4 linked regions of the Drosophila melanogaster genome follow. Changing the gene in region 3 together with the main gene of any one other region gives a genetic interaction. Each region holds a gene or a part of one and is shown on either strand. Other genes may lie near its edges.

What was found.
Region 1: of ast (region 3) and net, changing one suppresses a phenotype caused by changing the other (phenotypic suppression), as found in Drosophila melanogaster (one study listed by BioGRID).
Region 2: of ast (region 3) and px, changing one suppresses a phenotype caused by changing the other (phenotypic suppression), as found in Drosophila melanogaster (one study listed by BioGRID).
Region 4: of ast (region 3) and Egfr, changing one enhances a phenotype caused by changing the other (phenotypic enhancement), as found in Drosophila melanogaster (2 studies listed by BioGRID).

The regions. Positions count from the first base shown.
Region 1 is NT_033779.5:81,901-89,169, reverse strand, and holds net (net), read left to right. Parts: upstream 1-1,782; 5' UTR 1,783-2,077; coding exon 2,078-2,150; intron 2,151-4,892; coding exon 4,893-5,902; 3' UTR 5,903-6,749; downstream 6,750-7,269.
Region 2 is NT_033778.4:22,559,030-22,563,669, forward strand, and holds the start of px (plexus), read right to left. Parts: upstream 3,037-4,640; 5' UTR 2,890-3,036; exon of another isoform or gene 2,870-2,889; intron 2,114-2,869; 5' UTR 1,717-2,113; intron 1-1,716. Other genes in the region: CG11362 (uncharacterized protein), read left to right, coding at 3,365-3,404, 3,465-3,760.
Region 3 is NT_033779.5:1,076,041-1,081,344, forward strand, and holds ast (asteroid), read left to right. Parts: upstream 1-1,907; 5' UTR 1,908-1,994; coding exon 1,995-2,528; intron 2,529-2,584; coding exon 2,585-3,025; intron 3,026-3,080; coding exon 3,081-4,670; 3' UTR 4,671-4,763; downstream 4,764-5,304. Other genes in the region: Atg4a (Autophagy-related 4a), read left to right, coding at 5,204-5,304. UniProt on the Drosophila melanogaster protein: May function in EGF receptor signaling. May play a role in compound eye morphogenesis.
Region 4 is NT_033778.4:21,544,710-21,549,665, reverse strand, and holds the start of Egfr (epidermal growth factor receptor), read right to left. Parts: upstream 3,024-4,956; 5' UTR 2,076-3,023; coding exon 1,775-2,075; intron 1-1,774. UniProt on the Drosophila melanogaster protein: Receptor tyrosine kinase, binding ligands of the EGF family and activating several signaling cascades to convert extracellular cues into appropriate cellular responses. Known ligands include spitz, gurken, vein and giant-lens.

The sequences.
Region 1 (7,269 bases), 990 kb from region 3:
TTTCAGAAGCCAAATCAGTGTAACTCGATTTGTGCATGTTCGTCAACACCATGTTGTCCGCAAAATACTTCTTCTGACTTGATCTTTGGTGAAAAGCACATATCTACATATGTAGAAGCCAAACTGACTTCATGTACTTAGAGCCCGTCCTCATACAGAAGCCAAATCAGTAACCGCAACTTTACCTAATTTTAAAAAAAATCTTTGCAAATGATTCCGAAGTAATTCTAGCTGGGGCGTACGGAAAAAATGGTTTACTTTTAAAGGAACAGATCAAATTTCGCCGACACGTACACGAACCATTTTTGGAAGTCCAGCATTCTTATCCTTGAACTTCCAGCTTGACAAAGGCTTGATCGCGACCTAAACGGCGGTAGCGGAGGACTGCTCAGGTTGCTACACTGGAGATTGTGAAGTCTGGGGTCTGTCCAATCGAAGAAAACAGGTTAGGCCGCAGCCCAATCGCATACTTTAAAAGCAGAACAAGTCTCTAAAAAAACGAAAGTCATCATTCAAAAAGCATTTCGCGCGACAGACTCAAACTCGTGCCCAGTGTACATCTGCTAAGGATATCAGACAAAAAGACGAAAAGAACCCTAATGATATTAGGGAACTGGCTCTTGCATTCATTCCAGCGGCAAGTTTTTTGTTGTGCGGCGTTCGAAAGAATGATCAGCAAATTTAAACTTTTTCCTAGAACTGATCTTTTTTTTATCCAAAACGTAAGGAGGTATTCATCCTGACTTAAATAAATTTCCAAATACAAGCATATACATATATACATACATAAATATAAAAGAAGCCATGATAATCCAACTTACAAAATTATGACGAGTTCTGTTTAAAAAAATACATACGTATCAAATAAAATATTTGTAAACTATCTAAGAAACTGACCATTCTATGCCTAAAAATCGAACAGCTTGTGCAATACTAAAATTAAATGTTGACATTATTAAGACCGTTGCTTTTACTTTCTTCGCCAGTGCCATCCGCAGATGAAATACATACTAATACATATTTTATCACGTATGCACAAATGAAATTGACGCTGGTATATGCGTTGTGTCCAGCAGCAATGTTGCAAGAAGAATAAACTGTTTTAATAAAGTCCTGATTATGATAGAGGCTTTAACAGCCTTATAAGTCAAACTTTGCAAAATGGAGAGCAGCCGAAATTAATTAATCTTACCTAATTCAATGGCATTTAAGATCTTTTTCTGTCCAAAATATTGAATGTATATTCATCCCGATAAGTTTACAAAAAGTCAAAAGACATTTTGTCATTGAAACATAAGTAAGGCCGCAGAAAAGTAATACTTGCAATCAATAAGTTGAATACAAATTTTTTCTAGTCGCAAATCTCAAGCGAGCGAATATTTTCATTCATAAAACTAATAATGTGGTAGTCAAACATGTTCGACAGCGAACCGATCCAGCGGTTCGTACCACAGTGCTGGCAGGTCTTTCTGCCTAATATTTCTGGTGCCAATAAGTTCAGAGGCCTAGCAAACTTAGCTGTTCAAAATTTTGCTTTAAAGTATTTATATATTTCTTGTAAAGATAAATACTTTATTTCTTATTAAGCATATAATTTACTTATGGAAGAAATATATTTTCTGGCTAAGGGCGCAATTTTTTTCAAGCCATACACACATTAGGACAACGGACTCTAAAAAAACTGAATGGTCAACACTGATAACCAAACGCAGTTCGACCGCGTGCTGCTTTTAGCATGAAGCCAGCCGGTCCCTGGCGCAGGCCATTTCAATCCGCAAGATATTTTCAATCCGTCAGATACTTTCGTTGTGAACAGTCGTGCTCCGGTCAGAAGATTTTACGAGAAATCGTGAAAATAAAAAGTTCTAATAAGTTGAAGATAGTGCCAAAGCTCACATACGGCTTAACCAAACCACAAATTAAAAAAGTGCCTTTAAACAATACGTGACATTTCAATAGGTTTATGTTAACATAAAGCCCGTAATTGTGAATAAATAAAATATAAGCCCACAAAACTATTCAAATACCGTTTTCGGATACGCGCTACTTTTAAAGTTCTTGAATGTCCTTCGCGGCTATGGCGAATACCAACACAGAAAAACTTTACATGCAACTAAGCGCATCGGAATTATCAGCAATTATTATGAAAGGTGGGTATTTACCTTTTGCACGAGCAAAGGACACTGCACCTGTTGCCTGCGAATTGTGCGGCACCTGCAAATACTTACATAAATATACACACCTACATACATAGGTTTTTTATGTCTTGCAGTCGGATGATTATAATCATTTCCCGCAAAATATTTGTCGACAATAATTTGTCAAATAGCTGTATATTCATTTTTGTAATCGAAACCCAAAAAGAACGAATACAATCATTAAGGCAAGGAGGCTATGGCCCAAGGCTATGCAATAGACACTGAAGATAATTGACGACCAACATTGTTAATAGGGGGTGCTGCCGTGTGCACCCAGAAAGCCCCACCAACTAACACGTTGCAGCAGAATCATATTAGCAGCAGACTTGTGAGGATGGCAATTAAGATGCAGACAGATACGTAAATAAAGCCAACTATGTGTCGCCAGCGTACTCCAACTTTCGTCTTGTGTTGCATATGTCGGCCAAGCACTTTGCCCGCAATGGCGAATTTGGGACGACGATGTCGCCAGACATATTGGCAATTTGTCTGTTTGTGAAGCTGGAGCGACAGTTGGACTCTGCATTGTGTGTCCCTTTTCACCACCGCCTGCTGATTGTTATAATGTTCGAGGACAGACGTTAACTCCTTCCATATTGTTGGTACTGTTTACGTCAGCATTTCATAAAATCGATTTTATTTTTTGTTTCTGTGATCATTTATTTAAAATGCTAGTCTTAATCAGCAACGTTTCGAAATGATTAGTCTAGATGGCCATTGGTTTGGATAGAATAAGGTGTCTTTAATTTAAATTGATCACTATGAGTTTATAAAAATTCCACTTATATTATTTTACTACATAACGCAATGTAGTAACAGGAAAGCCGAATGATATTGGGTTCGTTTTATAACCAACGTAAAAATGTCCTTACCAAGTGTGTCAAAGTACTGCATGATCTGGATGTGTTCTTACGATTCATTCATAAAAGTGATGCGTCATTTTACTACAATATATTTCATATAGTCGCTATAACATATTTACATTTATGTACGTATGAGTATATGCACTTGTTATGATAAGACGAGGCTTCCCACACAGGGAACGCTTCCCAGTGGACCGACCGCCAGCCAAAAGCCGCCTATGATGATAACCTTTCGTTGACTTTTGGCGTGAATATGGGATTTTCTTATGCCTCTGACAGTTAATGTCTGCCGTTTTTAAGTAGGTTTTAGCTGATTTTCGCAGGAGGGCATTCATTCTTAGAAAAAAAGGCCAATAACGGGAAAACCGTTGTCAATTTCTGAGCAAAACTTGCTATTTTGTACTTGGCACCTAAAGACGGATCAGATCCATAAAAAATAAACTAATTTGGGCGTACAAAAAACATCTTAAAATATTCTTAATATAAACAATCGAGAATAATACCTTCTTCCGTGTATACTAAAAATAAAATAAAATGTGCAGGTATTGCCCTTTGGTCGTTAGATGTAACTTTAAGTGTCTGATACGGACAACTTAAATATAAATTGGTAGAAATTTATTTTTTAAAAACTTGGCAAGCTTTAAAAATGTTTCCGTTTGGCACAGGTGTTTTAAACTAGACGACGCCTGCGAGGACGGTGGCTTAAAAGTAAACATTTGTCTAAATATAAATTAAAATGCGGTATATAAACCACGCAAGACATGGGATAGAGTTAGGGCTATAAAACTGATGTTATTTGTACAGCCTGATTTCGTGGCCGCAATGTCAGTCAGTTGCTTTGAATTTCGTTTCGTTGTTTATCTGCCTAAAATTAGAAAAGATAGCAGAATATTGTGCTTATAAATAGTTGAATAAACATGCAAAAAGCTTACCTTCCGTAAATGTGTGTCCGCACCGGTTCAAACAAACAGGGAATAAATTTACTCATTCTTAGCCAACTTAGCTTAAGTAATTAATTTAAAATTAATAACAAGTAATTATTGTATGTATGATTGCTGACAAACATATACATATATATAATGGATAGGCTGATAACACAATAATTGATTACAAAAAAAATTAGCTGTTGAAGACAAAGTTTTTTTTTGCTTAAATACCGGAATACTTATAAATATCCTAGCAGATTCTATACCTTTATACTTTGCTGGCACAACCAAAGTTGAAATCGCAAACAAATTCGATCCATGTATGTATGCTCGTTTATATGCATTGTGATTTTTTTTTAAATTGCTAACCGGGTTGTTGGCTTCTGATGCAGTGGCTGCTTCATGCTGAACTTGAACTGGCTTTATTCGCCAGACTTGAAATAAATTACTTTTAACAAGTAAGCTGCGTTTCGGCACTTCAATACTTGTGGAGGTCAGTGGTAAATTAAGAAACCTGTTTTGTTTTCGTGATCAATGCATAATTTCACTTTATATAATGGACTTTCTTCTCATGTAACCTCCGATTTGAATGTATTAAATAGATTTCATAGGGTGGAAGAACATATTATAGATAAGAAAATACGTCAAAACTACGTCATCCAATTAGTTTCGATCAGATGGTAATAAAAAATAGTAACTAAAGATTTGGGATTTATTGAATTTTGAAAAGTCGAAGGGGTGTCACACAAAGGCAGTCGCAGCCCTATTCGGCTTGCTGGCCTGTTCCGCGAAAACGGGGGTTTTTTTAAATTTACGAATACGAAATGCCAAACATTAGTAACCGGTTCGGCGTAATACGTCACAGATAGAAGATAACTAACTCTTAAATTTTTTGGTATTTTTAGATTCACCCAATTCCAACGACCGTGATGCGGGTTTTTGTTCCGCCAGTTCGGAAAGCGAAGGCGGAGACGACTTGGTCGTCGAGCACGCGCGCAGTGGCAGTCCCGACATCAGACCAAAAGGAACAGACTCGGCGGACTCCAAGCCAATAGCCCTTGTCCGCAACAAACGCAAGAGTTCGGAACCCTTCAAAGTCGTAGGTTTGACGACTCCCAACTCTAAATCCATGCCTGGTCCTCCGTCCAGTGCGAGTATGAATGCAACTGGTCCGCTAAAGAAACGCATACGATACACATCTTCCGCCGATTCGGCAGTTGTCCTAACGCCACCAGCCATAGACTCTCCACCGCCCAACAGTTGCATACCTTCCACGTTGCGCCTGCAGCATGAAATAATGCCTAATCCGGCACATATATATGTTCGCCATCCGGGAGTTACGACTCTTCACAGATCGCTTGCTGCCCACCCAGAACAGCTGGAACCACTCGCATTAGTAACGACCAAAAAGCAATGTGTCGACCAAGCGGGGCCTAAAATAGAGGCCTTTTCCGCATTGCTAATTGGAAAACAGCCATCCGCCAAAAAAACGTTGAAGGAAAGGACGCAAAAAGAATCAACGTCATCTTCCTTTTTAGAAGCTAGTCTTAGCGATGAGGATCTGAACAAGACGGGATTGGCACCAATTTCGCGACCTCATCAACATCAACGCAATTACAAGAATATGACTAGGGAGCGCCGCATTGAGGCGAACGCACGTGAACGGACCCGTGTACACACCATATCCGCCGCCTACGAAACGCTCCGCCAAGCTGTTCCAGCCTATGCCAGCACTCAAAAACTTTCCAAACTCTCCGTTCTTCGGGTAGCGTGTTCCTATATACTAACCTTAAGTAGAATGGCTGGCGAGGATTACAGCGCCGATCAATCCGTACCGTCCATTGCCACGTGCTTAGAAGCTGTAACATCAACCATCCAAACGGAGGGAAAAGTGAAACGAAAGAAAGACGAGTAATCTGTCCAGTTTCGTGGATAACTTACTTTTTTAGACTTTAAATGCGACTGATTTCTGCTATTTTTTTAAATATTTGTGCTTAAGCTTAGATTAATCTGCATACAGCATTCCTATCCACATGCTTTGATTCTTTGCCAGAAGTGGCCTAATAGCTTTAAAAGTTTTCAAGGCTTTGTTAGATATACAGACTTCATGAGTTTAAAAAAAAAATTTTTAAGTATGCCTGCATACAATTTGTATTTGATATTGACATTGTTATGAATAAATACTAGCGATGTGATCATAATTTAATCTCTACCTACAGAAACATTTTAGTCAGTACAAAAAGTCAACGCCATCTATGTACGAGTGTATAAAAAGACAATAATCGGCATCCTTAAAACCTATGTAAATGACAATAATGTAAACTATATATTTACCTAAAAAAGTTTCAGTTTCTTGTTTCAAACAGGATTTTTATATCAATTTACAAGTTTTTAAAAGAAGCTTTGCCAAAATGTTGTAATTTCACCATCAACTTTAGTTACCTTAGGACTGAATATGAAAATGTATATTTTTTTACATGTACCTCTATAATAAGATCAATTCTTCTTTTACGAATTGCATACAACAGAGATAATCAGTAGTAATTAAAAATCCGTAGTTACGAAATTAAATAAAGAATTTAACAAATTTCAGTTTATGTAAGTAACTGTAGACGTTTCCTCTTCAATTGTAATCTCATTGTTTTGTATACATTGATATATTTGTACCCATGTATACATTCATAAGTGTACGTGCCATAGAATCAGGAAATACACAAAACTTACTATAAAGAGAATGTATTTTTATATAGAGTTGGGATTTCAGGTGGTCGCGGTTAAAATATTAGTCATCTGGGTGCAAGCGCACTAAAGGAAACCATATAGAAATGACGGCTTTAAGGGTTATTTTATGTCTGTACGTTAAACAATCTTATCGTTTGCAACAAGCTATTTCGTGATATTAAAAACTCAACAGGTGCGCAAAGAACGGCACGCTATCGATTTAAGTACACCTGAACGCATCCACGTTATCGTAACGAGTTTTGGCAAAACTTAGTCCCCTTATCAGGTTCGGAAATATATTTGTCAGCTTATCTAGCAGGCACAAAGTTTACCAATATCACAGTAAGTTGACAGTGCATTAGAACTCATGACGTACTCTGAAAGAACTCAACACTATTAACTATGCATATTATTAACAAAGTAACTGCATCTAGTTGACCCAGTGCAATATCCAGAACAAATTACATCAGCTAAGAATCCTATAGAAAACAGGTTAAAAACAGCAATTTCCGATCAGTACATATATAATGACTTGAGCATTGGCGTTATTCAACAAAGAGC
Region 2 (4,640 bases), on a different chromosome or scaffold from region 3:
TTCACATTTCCGCAACTTTTGGCTGGCCTTTGACGCAATTGGAGTTACCAGGGAAATTGAATTTTTTAAATTTGCATCGGGCAAACAAACAAGATGGAAAGCGGAAACAGCGCTAACAAAAGCAAGAACATAAATCCTGCCCGAGATGCAAAAACAAAAACACGGCAAAATGACAGAGAAAATGGAATTTATTAAATAGCATTCCGCGCAATAAACTCTTGCAGCAAAAAAAAAAAAAAAAACGAGCACAGCAACAAAAATCCACACACACACACACACACACACACACACACACACACGATCGCATAATCAAATAAAACAACTTGGACATGCAATTTTATGGCAGGACGTCGTTTTCCTTTTGGGCACCCTTCTCCTCGATTCCATTTCAGTGGCCCCCAGTTCAACGTAAACAGACGCAAAAACAATGGGGAACGAGTATAAAATGGTATATGTACGAATCGGAATTAAGAATACCCTATCGGATACGCACAGTATCAATCATCTATGGATGTGCGATGAATCGAAATATACAAGGAATAAGGAACATCTTATGGAGATCAAAAAACCGAATGGTTTTAAAATGCTTAAAAGCATGCAACATTTGGAGTTTGAAATCAAATAAGTTCATATATGTTTTATGTTTTTATTTAGAGTATTTCACCATTTTAACGAAGTTATAAGCCCTATTGCTAGGGTATTCAAAAATGGGATTAAGCCGAGAGGAGAATCGCAAAAAGACCGCTCAACATTTTTTCCATTAAGGGCGCCCAAAAAATAAAAAAATAAAAAAAACCGGACAGCTAAGAGGGGCTCAGGGATTTGCGGAGCTGGCCATCAGCGCATTCAGGTTTTTGGGACCTGCTGGACACAAATTAAACCAAGTGAAGCCAAATAAAAAGGTTAAATTAATAACCGTAGTCGCTCTTTAAAGTTCAAGCCAAATGCTATCTGTATGTATGTGTGTGTGTGTGTGTGTGTGTGAGTGCCTGTGCGAAATGCATATTTGAATATTGCATAAATCATCGCTTTTATTTCGATTTTTGTTTTATTCGCCATGCGGTTTGCTTTTGTTTTCTGCAAAAGCGCCTCATTAAATTACCATTTTAATGATTATTTAATTCCATCAGTTGGACAAATATAATAATTGAATATATATTTTATATATTATCTTTGCAGCCCAATAAGTTGTCAATGATAATATCTTAGGATTCTGCAATTACGTTCGATGGCAAACTTCAGCATTTGTATTTAAAATCTCATAAATTATTAAAGACTTTTAAATTTTATCTACATATGATGTAAGGTAGATTCTATTGAGATTTTCCGTATCAAAACCTAATATTTTGAGTAGCATTTTGTAAATGCCGTAAAAAACGTCTTACTTTCGTCATGCCTTCACTTAAAAAGCGTCAATATCAGTATCATTCAGATTTGCTGTACAGCACTTGAAATTCCTCGATTGCTAGGAATTGTGCAATCTTTTATTGCATTTTTTTAGAAATAGTTAGGTCGCGGCGGATATTTGTGATGGAAACCACACGAAACCAAACTGTCTGGTCTGAATTGATTTAAATTAATTGAATTTTAAAGCGAACCGGTAATCGGCAACCGGTTTCAACCGATTCAAGGCGAACCGTCCAATTGAGCAAACGGTATTTGAATGTTTTAACTGATTGATGTCAGTCGATATGGCCTGATTGTTCCGATACTGACCTGTGCTCCGGGTGCTTCGGCCTATTCCAGTTGACTCCGATTAATCCAACTCATGTGCCTGTTTTTGTGGCGGAATTATTGGGCGGAAGAGGGGATTTACGGGAATTAAAGCCGATTTGGGCGGATCGAAGGGACTTAACTTCGGGGCAAACACATTTGGTTTCAGGCACTTGTCTAGACTTTCCTCGGCGTTTCTCGGTGTTTCTTTCGGTTATCACACTCTTTATTCTAAATTTCTTCACTTGCTTTTGAAGCTATTAAGAGCACTAGTGGATTTTCAAATTTTGAATTGAGCATTCACGGTATTCTTCATGGTTTTCTTATAAGTTTCACTTTACCCATGTTAAGCTGGTAAAAATAGGGTTTCGATTTTATGTTTCAGTTGTGGCTGAACAATCTAGAAAGAATTTCAAAATTTTCGGTCACTATTACAGGTTTAAAATAAGAAAATGAATTTCGCGCAAGTTAGATTTTATTTTATTCTTATGTGTTTCAAACTTATAGTTGTGTTTATAAACTTTATCACATCGCTTTTAACAATTTCAAATTTTAATGGGCTAAATTTGATGCTTATCACTCTTAATTTCTGCCAGTGCATTTTGATCGCATTGTAAACATTTTTACAGAAACAAGAACAACAAATTGCGTTTCATTGCCACAGTGGTGGTCTCTGCGCCGTCGTCGGCAGCGACGTCGACGTCGGCTGCGAAAGGCGACACCATTTCACCGGCGACTATTAGCAGCAAGTGCGAGAGAAACGGACGATGGCGATCGCACAATTCCACACAACACACACACACACACATACGCATAGGCTGCAACTGTTGCAGCAGCCAAAACAACAACAAGACGGCTAAAAAGCGAGTGTTTTTTTTCGATTTTTTCGCGCTGCGACCTTGGAACCGTTAGCTTTTCAAGCTGAACTCTTGGACTGTTAAGTTGGCTGCCTTTTTAACACCTTAATAGCGCTTATCCAATTGTTTGCCTTTTGCTTTTGTTGCTTGTTGCTGCCGTCGCTGCTCTGCCGCTGTCGCTGCTGCTGCACTGCCTCTGCCGGCGTCAGCTGCTCGCCTGCGTGTGTGTGCGTGTGTCCGTGTGAGTTTCCGTTTGTTTTGTGTTGGGCCTTTTATTTTGTCGTGTTTTTTGTGCCCACCGTGCAATTGCAATATTTACGGATTATTCGCGGACCGTTGAGCGATATATGTGCGGTTTTTTGCGCGGAGTTGGATCGGCGGAGACGACGGAACAGCGATATATAATTGCAGCAGTTGCAAGAAGAAGAGCCAACCAGCAGTGGCTGCCAGTGTGTGCACACTGCGCAGCAGAATTGCCACCTGGCCGGCGGTGTTGCCACATCGCTGGATTTCGTGCTGCGATTGTCTGGAGTGTAAGAAGAAGAGCAGTGGATCAGCTGTTGCTCACAAGCGGCTCAAATTGAGTTATGTGCTAACGCGTTCGTGGAAGATTTGGGCGCGCAATTCAAAAATGTAACATAACGGGATTTAAAGATTTCAATTTAAATAAACTTTGAATCTATAATAATCTATTGTTCGAATTAAGCGTCGAAGTAAAGTTTTCAAATAGTATACTTTGCGTCACAACTCAACCCAAAATCAGAACATTGTAACAGAAATAATTAGGTCTGAAAATGAACTCAATAGTGATTTTTATTCTGCACTTTTTCTTGGGTAAGCAATTAACATATGTATAAAATAAATTCTACTAATGAATTTTCCCTGCCGGCTTAGGAATCACACTCGGAACAGCTATTCCCAACGAAATAAGTGTGAAAATGGCAGTGCCAAATAATTCTGTTACTATGAAAACCGAAGAGTTCCTGCTGCAAAACGAAAATATTCCCTTTGGTCTTCAGAGTATTCCGCATTACTTAAAACATCTCATTACAAATGTGGACAGGGATATCCCGGGAAAGAGAAAACCGAAGATTACTCAGTACTTCAAGCTGAGTCCAGAAATGGATAATTTGCAGATGATGCGGTTTCTTATCGAGACCTTTGGCAGATTCATTGGACTCATTACATAGGCGTAGTATGTTCTTTTTTGATATATTTTCCAGCTGTGAGAAGAATTCCAACGCGCTCATAAATAAGAAAATGAAAGGAGAAGACGATGAGGTTTTGATGATTTCAAATGAGAGGAACTTGATGAGATTTTTTGGTCAAGAGCATTTATTTCGAATTCAGTTTTGCAACGAGGCCAAAGGAGAAAAGAAATGAAGTATTAAAACTGATAAATGATAGAAGAATTCGTTAAGGAAGAACAAAGAAATATGCCACAGAAAGCTTTCAACTAAAGACGGCAAGAAACGAAGATTTGCTTTCCAAATAATAAACAACAGATAACAAGGTACATTTAAGGTTTTTTCATTGGTTTCTTTTATATGTATATATATATATATATATATTTATATATATATATAGATCTATGTATATATAGTATAACATTGTTAACATTTACTATTGACTATGTAATATCCGCTGCAGAGATACTTTTCGTGTTTCGTGTTCTGTTTCAGTTTCGGTTTATGTTTTTCTGTTTGATTTGCAGGTACTTAGTACTACTTTGCTCCTTGGGTTTGCGATTATTGTACGCTTGTCCTATATATACACACGCTATAACATATAGTTTTTTAATAGGTATCCATGGTTAGATATATGAGAATTTGGGGGGCTTCTTATATAGGTTCCTTTGGGTAGGGTGGAATACTAAAGAGTTTAGGCGTTAATAAATACATCTCGAGTTTTAGTTGGTAAAATTGCTAACATTTAGTAAGTAACTATGTTGTACATTCAAGGGCTACATCGTATAAGGTATCGCTGATCTATAACGATCGTAAATATATCTATGTGTATACAGTATACAGTGTGTATATGAATATGAAACAATCTGCAGTTATAGATTCT
Region 3 (5,304 bases):
TATGAACTTCACTTCCTCCCCGGATTACCAGTAAAAATCGTTAAAATCGCAGTCGCAACAGCTGTAGGAAAACTATAAACCACATTGGGAAATGCGTTTGGGATGGGGTGAATATGGATGGCTACGCCTTTTGCGGCTCTCTAAGCCCTGGGATGAACTTTTGTGCTCGATTTCCAGTTGCCAAAAAGCGCCGGAAATTGCTGGCAACTGTCGGTGGTCGCCAGATCGTCGGCATATATGCAATGTCTGCAGCAAAGCCCCCTTTTTCATATGGAAAATGAACCTGATTCTCGAGCACAGCGGCGAAAATTACATAATCGCCGGGCAAATGGGAGCACAGTCATATCGAAATTGTGCCAAATTGCAACTGCAGATGATAATAACGATAATTTATTTCTCCCCCAGTGAGATGTTTCTATTATACGAGCAATTTTCTGGAATCAGCGGGTGCCTAATTTCGCCCGATTTTCTCTGTTTCAGCAGCCAGGGAAAACATTTCAATTCTTCTATTTTTTCTGGTTTTTTCGGCCCACCAACAGAGGTTTTCTCTAGTTTATCGGCTTTCCCGAGGGTTTTTCCTCTTTCCGCTACCTGCGAATACCTGCCCCGAAAAAAAGAGGCGTGGGAATCGCCGAACATACAGGAGGTGCAGAGTTGGGAAATCGGAAAAAATTGCAATTGCAGGACGTGTGAAAATGTGCGGAAGACAGGAAACGTGGGCCAAGACCACTCGCAGATTTCCCGGAACGGCCTTGGCCAATGGGAAAGGGATTTTTCCCTGATTTTGAACTCACCTTTTTCGGCAAAGAGGGAAGTTATATATGTTTCGTATCCGTAAAACGAAGCTCCCAAGACACCAGAAGAACTCTGCACACACGCACTTGCTTTTGAACCGTCTTTTTTTTTCAACTCTAGGACGAATTATCGCACGGTTGATTTACGTTTTTTGCTGGTTTGGCTTAACAATTTCCTTTTGGAACATTTATTTGCACACAATTATTTATTAAATGCCGCACACACACACACAGGTGATTGGTGATCGATGATGGGCCGTGTGTGGTTGTGTTGTTTACGTACGTGTGTGTGTGCGTAGAGCACGCCTCGCACACACTGACAAAAATTCATTCACGACACGGTGATCACGATCGTCGCTCTCGCTCGCTCACTCATGGTGTTTTTGTGTGGAAAATCCAAGAGAAAAATAATACTATGTGAAGCGCAGACGAAAGACGCACAAAGCTGAGTTATTAACGTGTGTTATTGTTGTTGTTGTTTCTCGTTGCTACTGGATGTTTTCTGCTGCTGTCGCCTTGTATTTACTTAATTTCATATGCATATTTCGCCCATGGTTTTCTTTTTTCCGCTGCTTTTCCTTCTACCTGTGCTTTAGTTAAACGAACACACAAAAACAACACACACGCACGCACACCACACTCCGCGCACACACACACGCACGCACGAAACGAGAGACGCAAAGGTAAAGTGGTAAAGTGTGTGCAAGAAAAGCGACAAGAAACGGAACGGAACCAACGGAACCCGTATATATGCACGCGCTCTTCGATTCAATGGCGATTTCGGTTTCCACTGCACTCGCTGTGTTTGTGCTAGTACATTTCCCAGTTTCCTTTAGATTTTCGGTACAAGTGTTGCTATTGCTGGCGAATTTTTCTCCTGGCCACCGCGTAGCACTCGCGACGTTACGATTTTTCGACGTTTGATGCGCGGGTGGAGAGCAGACAAGCGTCGGGTTGGAATTGTCGGGACAGAGTGTGACCGCGGCGCCATCCCCGGAATATACCATCCGGCTGCGGGAAATACCCTAGATACCAAACTAATCGCTCATATATACCAAACGGCAGCGAACGGCCACGCTAAAGAATCGATATGTACATCGATAGTATCGCACTGCAAACTGACATCACTATTAGCACGCTTTTAAAGTTTGTGCAAAATAGGTAAATAGAAAATTGGGAAAATAGGCAAGCGCCGGGAAAATGGGAGTCCGCGGCCTGACCAGTTACATAGCGCAGCGCGCGGAGATCTACCTTAAGCCGCACGAGCTGCACTCCACGGCGCTGGTCATCGATGGCGACAACTTGAGCTGCAATCTGTACAAGGATGTCACCGGGAGCTACTCCGCCTTCGGCGGCGACTACGACGACTTCTACCGCGCCGTGGTGCAGTTCTTCCAGGTTCTGGCCGAGTGCAACATTCGGCCCTATGTGCTCATGGACGGCGGGTACGAGGAGCGCAAGCTGAGGACCGTTAGCACCCGGCTGCGCAACAAGATTTCCGTGATCAAGAAGATAAACCCCAATGCATCCATCACGCTGTTCCCGCTGCACCTCAAGGAGGTTTTCGTGGACGCTGTGCGCGACTGCGGAGTCCCGGTGATGAGGTGCGTCTTTGAGGCGGACGACGAGTTGGCTGCTCTGGCCAGGAAACTTAACTGCCCAGTGCTCTCCTACGACTCGGATTTCTACATCCACAACGTCAAGTACATCCCGCTGATCACGCTGACTGTTAAGGTAAGGCATAAGTTATTTGGATTCCAGCATATACTAAGCGATTCCATGTACCCCAGGTTCTCACCAAGCAGGTGAAGGACAAGAACAGCAGCAACCAGAAGGACAGTCGAGATCTACGTCACTGCGAGGCCAAGAATGTGAAGAAGCGCACCAGGGCCAACAAGATTGTGACTGGCATTCAAACCACAGGGCTGACAGCCAGTACAAAAGGCAGTTCCAAGACCTACAAGTACCTCGACTGCTGCATCTACCGGGTGTCCCATCTCTGCGGACGAGGAACTCTGAGTCCCGAGAAGCTACCCCTTTTTGCCGCCCTCCTGGGCAATGACTATATTGCCCGCAGTGCCTTCAAGAACTTTTTTGCTGCGGGAATGGGCAAAGCAGGACGAAGTCGCAAACTAAAGCTCCAGCAGAAGCGCATACAGGTCATCCTCACATGGCTGAAGGAGGAAACGGCGGAATCTGCTCTGGCTAAAGTGCTGTCGAGACTGAAAAAGGTTCGTTGCTTGAGATATCTTTTTCCGATTTATGCTAAAAATAATATTCTTGCAGAACCAGCGTGATTCCCTGGTCTCCCAAGTGAATGCAGCCATCTCTGGTTACTCCAACGAGTTGTGCCACGCCTACGATTACTTCGATGAGCACTACGAGAATGCTTTTCCTTATATAGAACCCGTCAGTGAAGAGGAATGCAGCGACGATGAACATTCGTCTAGCTCCGATGAAAAATTTTCAGATGTCGAAGAAGGCGAGGATCAGGAGGAAGCTGATAACCAAGATGAGGAGCAGCAGGAAGAAAATCAAGACGTTGATTCGGGTGATGAAGAAGAAGAGGAGGCGGATGAAGGCCTCGAGCTGGAAGTGGAAGACAAAACGCTACTCTTCCCACAATGGTTTCTGGACAAACTATATCCCGCGCACCTGCCCCGCAGCTTCGTGGACCTTATGCACCTGCGCAAGTACATCAACAACCCACAGATCGAGCACTTTCCCTTCCACGACTCCAATGAAGTGGCCTTACCCATCCTGAACTACGTGTTCGCTCTTCTCCATCACGTAGAGTGTGAGAAAATTGAGCTACCATTAGAAGTGGATATGGATATAGAGGGTTCGACAGTCCCCTATCTCACCTACCTCACCAGAGCTCTGCGAGTGACGAACGTGAGGTATTTCAAGATGCCCATTGAAAAGAAGCCTGCCTATCCGTTTGATCCTCTTTCGCCGGATGCTAGGCATTTAAGAGCTGTATTCGAAGACAATGCTCCCAATGCGGATACGGAGAAGTTGTTCAGCAAGCTCGACCAGTTGCCGGAGGACCTGAGGCTGTACTTTCTGGCCATTATCTACTGGTTACATCGCTCGGAGCACTGTGATTTGCTGCATCTTCACTCGCTGATCCTTAGTTTGGTTGTCCTACGAACCATAGATGTTACAATCCCTGCTGAACGAGAGGTGAAAACCTTCCTTAAAAGATTTGGCAAGACATTGAAAGCAGAGCGAGCAGTGAGGGATAAGGAAGCTGCCGAGGGAATTAAGCGCGGCATCAAACCTGCTCTGCTAGAGCTTTCTGTTCCAGATCGGATGGCTCATGTACCCAAATCGGACTGCTATTTAACTCAGGAACGCCTACTGCCGCACTTCCATATGCAGGAGATCTTCAAAAAGAAGTTTGACTTGTACTCCACCACGGTTATCCACGCATTTGCTGAATTTCAGGCTGTGGTTTACCAACTCAATGGGCTAAATTCTCTTTTGGATTTTCCACTTTTGAGTCCGAGGATGAACCAGCTTTATTGCGGCGCCTTTCTCTACAACATGTATGATGTACTGAGGAATCGTGCCGATGTCCGCTACCATGTTGAGAACTTCCTGCTGCCCGACTCCAAGTTGATGTTCGATTTCTATTGCTACTTGTACGACTGGTGCGCGGAGTTTATACCAACTTGGAAGCGATTGGAGGTGGATCCGACGGCGGCAAAGGCCCTGCAGAAGAAGCGATTGAAGAAGCAGCGTCAGGCGGCTAGGAAAGTGGAGCTAAGGGAGGCCATCGCGGATCCCAATGCGGAAATGGTCGAGGATGCCGATCCAGAAAACGACTTCTTCGATCTGAACAACAAATTCTGCGCACTCAAGGTAGCGTAGCTAGTTTGAAGTCCCGCACGTGCAATTTTGAAGTTTTTACATTGTTACAAATCTATACTTTGCGTAAAATAAGAAAAAAATTAAATATTTTTTAAAAAACTTCATTTTTGAATGCATTTCATTAACAGTTTGGAAAAATACTGTTATTTCCTATGTTATGGTCATGTTAAGTGCAAGGTTCGGTATTTTGGCAAAGTAAAATACCTTATCAGTTGCGGTCATACTAACAGCTACGTCACTGCGTTGTAATCAACAAAAAAGAAAAATAAATCAAACTAAACCAGCCGCAGACTGATCAAATGCTGGTTATCGCATAGTTTGTAATCAGCGCCCGTCACTGCCAACAACAAATGAAACCCCTGTGACCTCGGGCCAGAAGCAGGAGCATTGCCGTTGCTGCCAGCGAAAACACAGGCCAAAACAAAGGCCCACCCGAAAAACAGAACGTCATTCGAAGGCAATTATCGTATAGACGAGCAGCGGAGGCCCTGGTGTCCACCCCCTTCTCCTTCTGCCAGCGCACCGGGCAGTAGATGCTGGTTGGACTCAGCGACCAGCTAGCGCGGATCATGGAGAGCGTCTTCGAGGCGTACTTGGGCCCAGACAGCGTCCTCGCTAGTGCAGTTGGCCAGGC
Region 4 (4,956 bases), on a different chromosome or scaffold from region 3:
ATGAACAATTAAAAGGTGATTTTTTGCCAGCGAGTGTAGCGTTTTGAACTATAAAGACGTCAACAACAATTGCCAGTTGTTCGAGTTTCCTACCCCCAACGATTTTTTTAACGGTTTCGATTCGAATGCACGTGCAGGCTTTTCTCTAGCATTTATTTGCATACATGCCGCAGCTGTGCTTATTTTTATGGTCATAAAGAAAACAGCGAAACAGTAAGCCAGAGCAAATAACTCGAACAATTTCTGCGAAAAGGGCATTGTGACAGCAGCGATCGTCTGTGCGAAAAAAAAGGGTAATATCGCTTTTTAAGGTTCTGGCATCTTTATCGGTTTCATAACTCGCTTATCTAGCCATACATACATACATACATACCACATCCACATATCCGGCTATGCGGTGGTGGTCTCCCGTCTCCCATTAGCATAGACTGCGTAGCCAAAGTTTTCGTTTTCCTATCAATATTTGCACAGTTGCTGGCGCACAATGCGCACATTCAGTTATTAATTTGCAGCTACAAGATCACTGAGTACTTGGTATCGACGGCCCGCTTTTATTCGCCTCCCATTTAATTTTTACTTTTCTGTTTGCCCGCCGAATACAAACATTTGCCTCAAAGTACTGTGCAAACAGACACCGCCAGATACGCCATGGAGTTCATTAAATTGTGGCCAAATGGTTACCCAAACATACAGCCAGCCAGCCAAGCAGCCAAAACTTCCAATATGCGAATACCAAATTTTGTGTATTAATTTATTTTCCAACGGGTAAGAAACAAAGAGCCCACAAAGAAAACCTCGAGAACTGCAGAGTCAACAAATTGAGTCGCCATTTTAGCTGGAAATTGTGTCGCTAGTTGCAGTTGCCCTATTGCTCTTACTGTTGCTTTTGCTGTTGCAATTGCAATTGCTGCTGATGCACAGAAAAGGGCACGCAGACGGCGGGAAAAGTGGCAGAGTGGAAAAATCGGGCGGTCTTAACACTAACTAACTACTACGCTTTACCTTGTACATTTGACATTACGAAATGCACAGCACAGTGCTCAGTGCTTGGCTAATCAGTGCGTTCTGGTATTCTGGTATGTTTGCCGTGATATCTGATGGCTAGGTGTGGGGGTAACTCGAAACAGGGGCGATAGTGCACACAAGACTCTTTGACTAAGCCAGCGCCAAGTCAAGAGGTGAGCCACAGGGCAGGTGAGACCGTCGCGAAGGGCAGGTATTAAATGGAGGGAGCATTCACTCTGGACTAGGGGATACCCTGGCGTATACGTGATATTGGGAAATATCATTCAAAGTCCATATTCCAGACACATAAATGTTAAGTAAGCTTATATTACTTAAAATACTACGAATTCACACACTATTGCAAGTGTTTTTTAATCTATGAGCTTAGTAAAATATTTGTAATATTGCACACTTTGCAGCTACCCCTCGATAATTGATATTCCCAGGGTAACGATAAGACCAAATAATACGAAATGCAGCCGAAAACGAAGCTATATTTAAAGTGCAGTACAGGGGAAAAATAAAAAAAAAACATCACAGCGATAAGATAAACGACAGCATATCGCTGGCACGAAACTACAATAAAAAAAAAAACACCTGAAAACGGTGGAAACTCTAGAGACCAACTGATACGGTGGCCAAATTCGGGACGACTTGGCTCTTTTGATATATGGGCAGCCAGTCAGTCAGCCAGATGATCTACATAAACACATTTTGATAGATGATGGGCGGCTTGAGGAAGATGGATAGATCCTTGCGGTGCACTTACTTTTCCCCTTGACGAACTCGTTCTTGTTCTTATCCTCCAGACTGGTGGGAATGGTGACTCCGTTGGCTCCCAGTCCCAGGGCGAAGTTGGCCCCGCCCCTCTGTCGATTTTGGGCCGAACTGCTGCGGTATAGGAATCGATCTCGATCCCGATCGCGATCTATATCCTGATGGCGCTGGCGATTGTTCTGGCGGGCGTAGCGATCGCGGGCCGCCGACGCGGGCCAAATGCAAATGCAGTGGGCCAGGAGCAGGAGCAGCAGGGGGAAGGGGCAGGGGCCGTTGCGCCGTCGCAGCAGCATTGTTGCGGGGCGGTGGGTGGTTTGGTGGTTGGTGCTTTTTGTGGGCGTTACTGGTGGGATGAATCAAGCCCTCTTCCAAGCTATAACCCCTGACGTCATAGGGGTTATTTTTTATTCGTTTCTTTTTCTTGAACTTGCGGTTTACTTTCGGCTTTTTGCTCACTCAGCTTTGCGTGCCAAAAATACAGCTTTTCATAAATTTGATTTCGACTCTTTCACTGCGTTTGCTGCGGTTGCTGTTGTTGTTGTTGTTGTTTTGAATTTAAGCTGTTGTCGTTGCAATTTGCCACTGTATTGGTGTTTACATTTCACTGTGTATGCGCGTGAGAGTGAGTGTGTGTTTTCGAGTGGGTCTTTTGAACGCGCCAGTGAGTGAGTGTGTGCGTGAGTGTAGGAACCAGTTTCACATTACGAGCCACAAGAGTCGTCCGAAGGCTTTCATATATATATATATATATATATGAGTGTATGTAAAAAATAAAATTTTTGTTATTTTTCAGATGTATTTTTCAGCTTCTTTTTTGAGTTCGCCAACGATTTTTGAGGTTAGAGAGGCGTGCGCAGGCGCAGCTCTTAGCTTTCAGCTTTAATTGATTGCCCTAAGCAATTGTTGTGTTGCCCCCGCAGCGGTTAACTTGCACAAAACACACACACTTGGCCATCATTCGAACTGAGCCACAACCGCCACAGCCGCGGCTGCCAATTAGCAGGGTATTCACAAAAATACGCTTAGTAGTATAGTATAGGCCAAAGGCACTTGGCTTACACCCCGTTTTTGGCTTTGGTTTTGGTCGTTTTGCGAACTGTGATTTCTCGGTACTTCGATTAGCACGATCTTCGAATTAGCAAACGCTGCGATCGAGAGCACAGATATGGCCGAGGATTCGAGCTCAAGACGTCCGTACTGAGCGATTCGCGTCCGCGCAGCAACAAGTTGTATTCGAGACTGAGGCCAAAGCCGCAGCCAAAAGGCGCTGCTCCCTCTCTGTCTCTCTCTCTCACTCTCTCGCCGTGTTTCTTACTCTCGATTGCGGCGAAAAGAGCGCGCACAGGTAAAAATAAAGGTGAACGGCGAAATCTCGAGCTCAGATCAGGTCAAAATAAAAGCAAAGCCAGCGATACAGCAACAACTACGGCACAGCTGCGCACCGCTGTCGCCACCTCTCGCTCGCTCAGTGCAGCGTTCCCACTCGCACCGCCAGCGGACCATCTCCATCCACAATCCACAGGTAATCGTAAACGTAGCAGCAGCATTTTAAAAAGTCAGCGTAATACGAAACGATACGGCCAGATACATTGGGCAATCTTCCCCCAGACCAGCAAATGCTCTACATATCATGGGAAAATGCTAAACGTTGGCCCTAATGCACAGAATCGAATTTAGCGCCATCTCAAATGAACGGAAACACCAACTAGAGATCTTAAGTTCGCAGAACATAACTTCAACTAACAATCTTAACATAGAGTACATGGCTCAGAGCGGTTAAGTATCCCAAGCTTGAAGAGTGGATACCAAAGAAGGACAATCTTTTTGCACAAAATATGTTGCTCGATATACAGGGCGTGTATAAATAATATACACACGGGATTTATGTTAAAAAAGTTAAGAAGCATTTATACGCAACAACCTCAGTTTTAAGATAGCAAAGTTTAGGTAGGATTAAGAAGGCGCCATAAATAGCCTTTTCAACTGCAGAGACGAGTTTTCCAACAAAGGAAAGTACTTGAGCAACAATGTCCTGATTTTCCCCTCCCCCCAAAATGCCCAATAGCAAAGACAAGAGCAAAAAAACCAATGCGGGGATTATCCGACAGCATCTTAACTCCGACAGCTGTGCAGGGCATTTAAGATTCGCATCGATTGCAGGTCGTTCCCAGGTAAGATCTTGTGTATATCCCAATTTCTTGACACTGCTGCTGTTGTTGTTGTTGTTGTTGGAGGTTCTGTTGTTGCGGCGAATTTGAGAGCGTTCAGGTAAAGCGATCGCCGCTCTCTCACCTGGCTGTATATACATGGGTATGTGTGGGCAATGCTGCCATATAAGCACAAAAGATCTCGGCAATTGTATCTGTATCTGTGTGTGTTTGTGTGTGTAACTGTGCCCGCATCTGCATCTGTGTCTGTGAGCCGAGCCTGCGTGGGCCATGGATTGTCTTTTGGCAAAAAGATTTTTGTACGAGCGTTGTCAACATTGTTAGGGCAGATCCAAGACCGAGATCTCGTTGGCCTCTTCTTCACCTGTTCCCAGCCCACAAGAAATCGGGGTTTTTACGCCTGCGCCATGTGCTCTGCGGGATCGGGCCAAAAGGACACTGTTTCGGCAGGTAAATCCGAAGCGTTTTGACCTTTTTCACTTTGCCATAACAGAAATACAAAAGGTGCACTTGGAAAAGCGCAACTAACTCCTCGGTCCACATTTGAATCTCGAATCCCACGCTGTGACTCTCGAGAGGCGTTGCATTGTCTTGCTCGGCGCTTTGTTTCAGAGCATGAAAATACATTTAAATTGAAAAGCATTTCCACAGATTTCCACGATGGGGTAAAAGCGCCATGCTCCGGTCTGCAGCCATAATCAAACATATTAATAGCCGTCTGTCCCAAGCCAGAAGACCTCAATCAAAAGGTACACTGCCCAAACCGTACGGAATCATCTGTCAAAATCGAAGAGCATGCAACTGACAGCCGAACATCGAGTTGAGAACGATCTTAGAACTCAGAACTCTGAAACCACTTCAGGGCACTCCACCAACTCCGCCAGTACGAACCACAGGTAAACGCCGCTCGAGAGGTGTAAGATGCCGAGATTCTGAGATTCCAAGATGCCCCGACCCACACTCATAAACATTTGATCAAGCGTACAAAATGCCATGCGAAGAGAAA